2 linked regions of the Neodiprion lecontei genome follow. Each later gene encodes a partner of the first gene's protein in a complex. Links are inferred from orthologs where the notes say so. Each region holds a gene or a part of one and is shown on either strand. Other genes may lie near its edges.

Region 1 (3,973 bases):
CTAGTATTTCAACTTCAACTGTACAGTGTCCACCCTTATTAGGCAGTCCTGAGCATCGTTTCAATTACAAGTTATTGAGCAGGTCAAGATACGTGCGTAGGATGTGAGCTAGACATTGATAAGGCGGTGAACGAGTACCGCGCGCGGATTATCTTTGACAGTCTATTTCTGAATGAAATGTCAAACTTTTACGGAATATTTTTAAACCTAATGTACGAGATGCCACTTACCGTTCACCCGCATTATTCCCGCGAACTTTGTGGATCTCTCGCCATTATTTGTTTGTATCACATGCGGCCATCTTATCCTATCAGCTGCTGGGGTGATGTGATTTTTCTACATACGTGATATTTACCTATCACAGTTAGCATAGAAATACTTTCATTGCCCGTTATAGTTATCCTTGTTTTGAACAGATTTTTAAACCGTCATTACGACTCGGAGAAAATTAATTCACGCTAATCGTTTAATTTTTTTTATACGTCCGCGACAAGGTTTTCATTCTTATAGGGATTTGATTTTTTTTTTCTTGATGAAAACAGCGCTGCTCAACTGACATTCGATCAGCGCGATCGTGTAATTGAAATTAAACACGCAACAGTTTCAGCGTAAGTTTTCCGATTCATTTAAATTCTTTACTTCGCATTCAGTTACGACGATTTTATCATTGAAATGTAAACCTTGATACATATTTAGAAGAATATTGCGATAGAGAAAAAATAAACTGAACAAGTTACAGGGAAATTAAAAAACCACACCAGTCAATGTTATTTTTTTAATAAATAGCTCAAGCATTGCTGAGCGACGATCGCAGATTTTTTATTTACTATGTACAGGTGAAATTGTTTACATGAAATTCTAATCTTTATTAACTTTATTTTCTACTCCCTCATCTTTAGGTTTGTCAGATTTATTATTGGCCAATACAACGTCGCCTAAGGGACTCTTTGGCTTAAATATAATGGGAATATTAGCTAAGATGTCATTCTCTTTCTGTAAAAATCTAATCCAAGATAATAGAGAGTCGCGACTAGAGGTTCCAGTCGCACAAACAGCAAATATCGTGCCATCCTCTTGCTCGTGAATCGCCGTCTCATCTTCAGTCGGTACCACAGATTTTTTTGTTTTCCAAAATGGCAATTCAATTTTACTAACGTCTGGAAAAGATCATTATTGTTAATTAGATTGGCGAAGAGAGTTTCAGGAAAAAGACAACAAATCACTTTTAGAAGAATATTTCTTACCATCGTCGTCAGGCGGTGGTAGGTCAGGTTTTGGAACAGGATCTCCCCTCAGTATGAAGTAATTAATGGTCAAGTTTTTTAACCAAAGTCTAAAAGGCCCTTCCACATATATGGGGGCTGTGGAAGCATGCTTGTTAAGCAGTTTTTTCTGACCAATACTCATTCCAGAAACAATCCAAGTATCGTCAATGGAATCTTCGAGATCTTTTGCCTGGAAGATTGTGATTTTTCGGAGCAAATCGATGCTAGTAATTCTCTCTATGGCCAGTTTGGCCAACTCGAGAGAATCATTGGGCAAAACTTCTGGCAATGGCCATGGACTCGCGTTTTTGAACTTGGGCATCCAGTACATCATTCTCCAATACTTCCTCAGCGGAAATCCCAGCTTACCGAATATGTTGAGAAGGATATCCTGCATTTCCCTGTCTGGTATAACTCCGTTGTTTTCCATCTGTTCAAGGACATCTATCGCGCATTGCTGCTGCTTTGGATAATGCATGAACTCAGCCTGTATCGTATTCTCCGGAATGAACTTCCCCTTCGGTAGTACATTGATCAAGTTTTTGTATACCTCTAGATCTTTTTCGACTCCGAATTCCTCCATGTGCTTCATTGCTGCGTAAATGAATTCGACGTGACCTCGCCTGTGAATGTCTCTGTCGACGAACATTCGCAGTACGTCTAAGTACGTTTTTTTCTCCTTACTTCTAACCTGTGCAAACCCGTAAAAACTCACCGCCTTGCTACCTTCATTTTTTTTGTTACTATTGTCTTTAGACAGATGAGCGCTGGTCACAGATATGCAACGCAAAGCTGTTGTTGGTCGGTAACTTTTCAGGTCGTGCAGTATCAACTTTTTTCTCATTCCTGGATAAACCCTGAGCAACACATACGATCTTCTTATTATCGATGTCATATTGCTACTTGGTATAATGGTTTGTTGTATTTCTCAAATTAACGGAGGCACGATCATAGTCGTAATGCTTAAATCCGCGTGCCGGTCAAACGATTTTCGTATTTTATGCAATGTGTAATTGATATTCTTTGAAAAACCTCTATGTTTAACATCCCATTCCGTAATATCGGTTACACACCGAGGTTATAAGATTGCTGAGAGGTTAGGTTATATTTTCTCAACACCGCGGCCGGCGGAGCCTCCACCGGTGGGTGATTCACCAAATTTAAATTTTGCCGCACAAAAATCGTTCGTAAAAACTCCGCACGAGTGCAGCACTGTCGGGATTTGCGATCCGTGGCTAAACAATAAGTTTGGTTGGTCCAAATTCGAAGCGTGCGTGCTGCTGGAACTAGTACATAAGTACAGCCGAAACATTGAAGTTATGAAATAAAGTGAAAATGGGACGCAAGATACCCGGAAAAAAACACAGAGGAGTGAAGGACCCGACTAAGCAACAAAAGAAGCGTTTATCAGAGTAAATATCGTTGCGTGGAGTTGTGTGATTAAATTTTGTAGGTTAAGTTGATCATCGTAACGTGTCAAATTTTAGGTTAAACAAAGTGATAAACGCGCCGCCGAGGGACAAGGATGAGCAGGCGATACCGAAGAGTCTTGAGCGCGTGATGAAGCTGAAGCAAAGCGTGAAGGACGGTAAGATGATGAAGAAAAATACCAAGAAAAAAACGAAGCTGAAAAATCAACTGATCGTGATGGGCAATCACCATCCACAGATCGCTCATCCCAAGGCAAGACCGGAGAAAGTTGTTCCTGTTTTTTCGCAAAGACCAGACGAATGTGGAAAGGCTTTTTTGAACCGAGTGAACTCGGAGACTCAGGCGTTCTTAAATGAGACTGCGTTTGAAGACAAATATGGTGTGGAAGTCAAGCGAGATCCAAGTACTGGTAATATCGAAGGATTGTCTAAGAGATCGAAGGATGAGATAGATGAATTAATGAGACTCAAATTGAAGCACAGTAATACCAAGAAGAAAAAGAAAAAGAAGAAAGACACCGAGACGACTAGGCTGACGAAAGCTCAGAAAAGGAAACACAAGCTCGAGTTGAAAAAAACTAAAAAACTGCAGGACAATATAGACGAGTTCAAGGTCTTCAAGGAGACTATTGAATTTGGAGATGTTGTCCACGCTCCTCCAGAACTAAAAATCAAACCGAAAAAAGCAGACGCTTCTCACTCCGAACGGGTAAAAACCTTACCAATATTTGATTAGTTATGCGTTGTATTTTTTTGGATTAATTTTACCGATGATTTTCCGATAGCCTGGACGAAGACGTCTTCTTCTTGATTCGCTTTTCAAGAGCCATGACAAATCTGCCGAGAACACAACAGGCGTTAAGTCTGTCAATAGATCTGGAAAACGCAAAGATCTCCCGGTTGGGGAAAGAAGACAACTGGAGGAACGACAGAAAGAAGCCATAACTGCATACAGAAACCTGAAGTCTCGGAAAGCTGCTGATTTATGACCATGGGCAATGGCCGTGTGATCAGTATTTGTACATATGAGAGCCTTAGCAGAGAATAGAAGGACGAAATGTGTGTGTAAATTGATCAGTTTATTTACGATATTTTTTTAATTACATTAGAGTATATATAATATAGAGGTTAAGTTTCACGGTATTCTACTTTGGCAGAGAAGTAGTTGGGAAAACTGTGGGAGGTTACACTTTGCTAAAATTGTCATTGATAATATTGAAACAAAATGAATAGCATTTGCTACAGTAAAACAGCGATTTAAATGGTCATAGATTGTTT
Region 2 (4,168 bases), on another chromosome or scaffold:
GAGTGCTATATAATAATTGGGTATAATTGTGTTAGTTAATTATAGTGTTAATATGATAGTGATATATAATAACGTATAATAGTATTATAGTTCTCTGTGGTACGAAGATCTCGTAACATGGTTTTTAAGCCTTGGCTAGTGAATTTCATAGTTATTTCCATCTAGGGATATTCCAAATAGTTAGACAGTTGTTTTAATTTCTTATGGTTACAAGATTCTCGTACTTCGAGTTTGGTTAGTTGATAAAAGTAACATGCAGTAATAATAATCGATAAAACATACGGACGTTCCGGTCGGACGTTACACGAGCTTCCTTGAGGAAACCTTCGGCACTGCGATTGGCTGTTTCGTTTCATGTAGCCAACGCTTGCGCTCGGCGTCTATGCACTTATGACCCGTATGACGCGGATCACAGCCAGTCTACGGGTTAACTTCTTTGAGGTTACACACTCTCATCAACCGACGCGACTTGACAATGAGAGCCAAGTGGTTTAAGTTAGATTTAAATACAGCCGAGTGGCGCTTCGATCAGCAGTTTTACCACCATAAGCAATCTCATATCCCTAAATATGTCCTCCTTCTGGAAGGGAGAGCCAAGTTGTGACTATGAAACGAGGACGCCTCTGAGATTCAAGGAAGCCTTCATCAAGGCGTCCTTTATCCTTGAGATAAGGAGTTACTATGAATACGGGTGTATGGGCGCAACTCGTTAATGCTTAAACTCAAAAAATCGAGCAAGATTGGTCAAAACTGGTAAATGCAGTAATGTTAAGTAAACCCCGGTGGAAAACGCTATAAGATACTTTTGGGCGAACGCGCCTAGAAATTTTTGCCCACGTTATAGTGAGAAAAACTGGAACACGCGTGTCTTGACCTGGTATAATCTAGGGACCTTGTCAGGGTGCGATTTAAACGCCTGTATATATACCCGTATTCATAGTCTCTCCTTATTTCAAGGATAAAGGACGCCTTGATGAAGGCTTCCTTTAATCTCAGAGGCGTCCTCGTTTCATAGGGTGTATTCCGAAATATACTGACAGTACTGCAAGTACTGGCAACCACGTTCCGAAATCGCGCGACAGCTTACTGCCGCCACTCAGTGACGTCATGAAATTTGTGATGTTGTTGACTGCGACTACTGCGGTCGGGGATGTGAGGCAGCTGCACTACTTGAGAGATGGCCGCGTCCTCGGTGTAGCGTTCCGATTTTATTGCGGCTGGCAACTCGAAGTAAAAACGGTACGCAGTTCGCAGTTGACTGCGTAACGTCACGGTCGGCAGTACCGGAAGTATATTTCGGAATACACCCTTAATAGGTTACGATCAGCATCCTTCTTTTTTTACATTTTGTAGCGAAAATTTCCCTTTTTTCCGTAAGAGGCGCTCAAATTGCGATCAGACAATTCTTCTTACGTTACCTCCTCAGAGCACATACCACTAAGGTTACCTCAAAACTGGGGACAAGTTTTATCGCAGTTTTAATTGTCTCCTTCGTACTTTTCCGTGCTATCAAATCAAACTATTGGCAATTATAGAAAGATGAAGAATTATGGTGTTATTTTACGAGCAGTAAAAAGCAGCAGCAGTTTTCCCCTATCACTTCCGGTGCAAGTTTCTGCTGCTCGCAGTTCGGTTTCTCGAGCGACAAGCCACAAGACCACAAGAAGCCACGACCTATTTCATGAGCAGTGCTGCTGCTGCGTAAAATTAGCAGACTGATGCTAGTGAAAACTAGTAAGTTACTAAACCACTGCTGCTTTTTACTGCTCGTGAAATAGCACCCTTACGCTGCTTTTTCACGTGCAGCAAACAACCGAATGCGGCAGCTGCTAAAATTTTCTGATTGGTCAATGATTAATGGTGTACATACACACATGGATCTTGCTGTACATACATGCATCAAAATTGCTGCGAAGTAGAAACCCATTGTAGAAACGAACGTACTTTCGTTTGCTGCATACACAACAGAAGCCGCCCCCCCCCCCCCCCCCCCCCCCACGCCAACGCCAACACGTATGTATGCACGTATGTACGTAGCAGGCAGCCCCTGTGTCCATTGTCACATGTATTTATTACTGGCGATGCAACGAAGTGGCACGGGAAAGATATTACTAGGCGTTCGTTTATTATCACAGACAGTATCGGCAAGTGAATTACGGTGGAGTATGTTGCACGGCGCGTATCATCAGTAGTGATGTACTTCAGGATTCCACGGATGGTGGCAACAGTCACCAGATGTGAACACGTTGGGATACAAGTACGTCGGTTTTGGGAACAAGATCGCAAATCAGGTTATCCGCGAGTCGCAGCAAAAAGCTCATCCGAAAAACGAAACGACCTCTGGCACATTCGTAATGGCTTTCGTATACTCGGGGACGAGTTTAAACTCTTCAAACGTGAGGTAATTGAACACTTGGAAAGTGATCCGTTGTTGATATATCGAAAGGACGAAATTGACCTCGCTTGGCGGTTCAACGGTGACAAAAAGTCACTCGACCAATGGTTTGTCACCGCCGATAGTGACTATGAGGAAGGTTACTCAAATTGCAGGTGATTATGAGAAATTTGCATTCAGGCCCACGATTCGTGAAACAAGGACCTCAAATATTGCAGCCTAGTTTCATGAATCCGGCCCCAAATCGCATAAATATCTAAACTATAATCACTGCAGTACAGTTACGACACGTTGGAATGCTATTCCTCGACACGAGAAAATCCTTTGAGAATTTCAATAACGATTTTTTTTCGCTTTTCCTATCCACGCGAAGCCTGCAATTGACCAAGTCTGGCAGAGGGCTGTTTTCTGGATACTTGGACAAACGTGTACCAAAAACAGGAAACATCAAAAAGGCAGGATATTGCAACATTAATACTCTACGTGCTCGCAAGTCCTTCAAACGAGAAGGTTACTATGACTGGCATCCCTATAATCATCTGGTAATGCGGGTTAGAGGGGACGGTAGATCCTACATGCTCAACATATCGACAGCTGGATACTTTGATATAACTTGGAATGATGTCTATCACTATGCACTCTACACAAGAGGTGGACCTTATTGGCAGTATGTGAAAATACCTTTTTCAAAATTCTTCATGGCCAGCAAAGGAAGAATCCAAGACCACCAAGAGCCATTACCCCTGCACAATGTAGTTAGCTTCGGAATTACCGCAGCTGACAAGGTGACAGGGCCGTTTAACTTGGAAATTGACTACATCGGATTGTTATTTGATCCAAGTCATAAGGAAGAATGTGCGTATGAAATGTACAAAACTGACGACTACATCGCCGGATATTGATGTAGTTGCACAGACATTTATCTGTTTTTCCTCCATTTCAACAGCTCAGAAATTTCTGTTTGTAATTATAATTCTCCGTGGAGGAAATCAAATTGTAGCCAGGTTCACGTAGGATAATAAAAAATCTCATAAACATATATGACTCTGAATGGATAGACCATTCAATATCTTCTCTCCCTGCTAAGAAGTAACTGTCTCTGCTGAATTTTCTTCATACAGGATAAAAAATGTAAATCGTACAAAACCTAATCATTCATGTTTTCACCTAAATTTAATTATTAGTTGAACTAACGTTCCACGAGCGTTCATCAAGACACCTGCCGGTAAGCCAGGTCCGTTGTTTGTAGTCAAATTGCACGTTACTACCATCACGGCACAGGATTGCCGGTTCAGTTCGGATATCACAGCTTTTATTAGAATGCCTATCCAGCCATTAGAAAATGTCCAGCTTAGCTATCTCGTCCCTTAGGTATAACAGCAAACAGAAAATGACAGGAAGAAAACGACTTTCATGTCACCTGCTGGGTCGATTCGGCGTCAAATTTATGCAGTAGAATGTGATTGGTACAATTGATATTACATCCGGTTATACCGTGATCGATTTCGTCAATAGGAAAGCGGACGAAGATTGACTTGGATCTCAACCAGTTTAGTTACTATCCACCTGTAAACATGGCTGTAACTGTTATACACTTTATTGTGACAAATGGGAACGTAACAAACTAGCGAGAATAGAATTTGCATCAATCGTTGTACCAGGATACTATCACTGTAGTGTCCAGATCGAATATCAATCAGTTGATGATGACTTACACATTGACTGCTGATGAGCCATTGAGCCGGCAGTCAGACTGTGGTTCACAGATACGCT

The links.
Region 2: evolutionarily conserved signaling intermediate in Toll pathway, mitochondrial (region 1) and complex I intermediate-associated protein 30, mitochondrial share a complex: the UniProt entries of both Homo sapiens proteins name them as parts of the mitochondrial complex. The link is inferred for Neodiprion lecontei from reciprocal best matches to the Homo sapiens genes ECSIT and NDUFAF1.

Annotation. Positions count from the first base shown.
Region 1 is NC_060261.1:8,887,923-8,891,895, forward strand, and holds evolutionarily conserved signaling intermediate in Toll pathway, mitochondrial, read right to left. Parts: upstream 2,371-3,973; 5' UTR 2,161-2,370; coding exon 1,245-2,160; intron 1,158-1,244; coding exon 859-1,157; 3' UTR 853-858; coding exon of another isoform or gene 827-852; 3' UTR 768-826; downstream 1-767. Other genes in the region: coiled-coil domain-containing protein 137, read left to right, coding at 2,601-2,677, 2,753-3,404, 3,481-3,684.
Region 2 is NC_060266.1:45,433-49,600, forward strand, and holds complex I intermediate-associated protein 30, mitochondrial, read left to right. Parts: upstream 1-2,008; 5' UTR 2,009-2,194; coding exon 2,195-2,550; intron 2,551-2,768; coding exon 2,769-3,297; 3' UTR 3,298-3,434; downstream 3,435-4,168. UniProt on the Homo sapiens protein: As part of the MCIA complex, involved in the assembly of the mitochondrial complex I.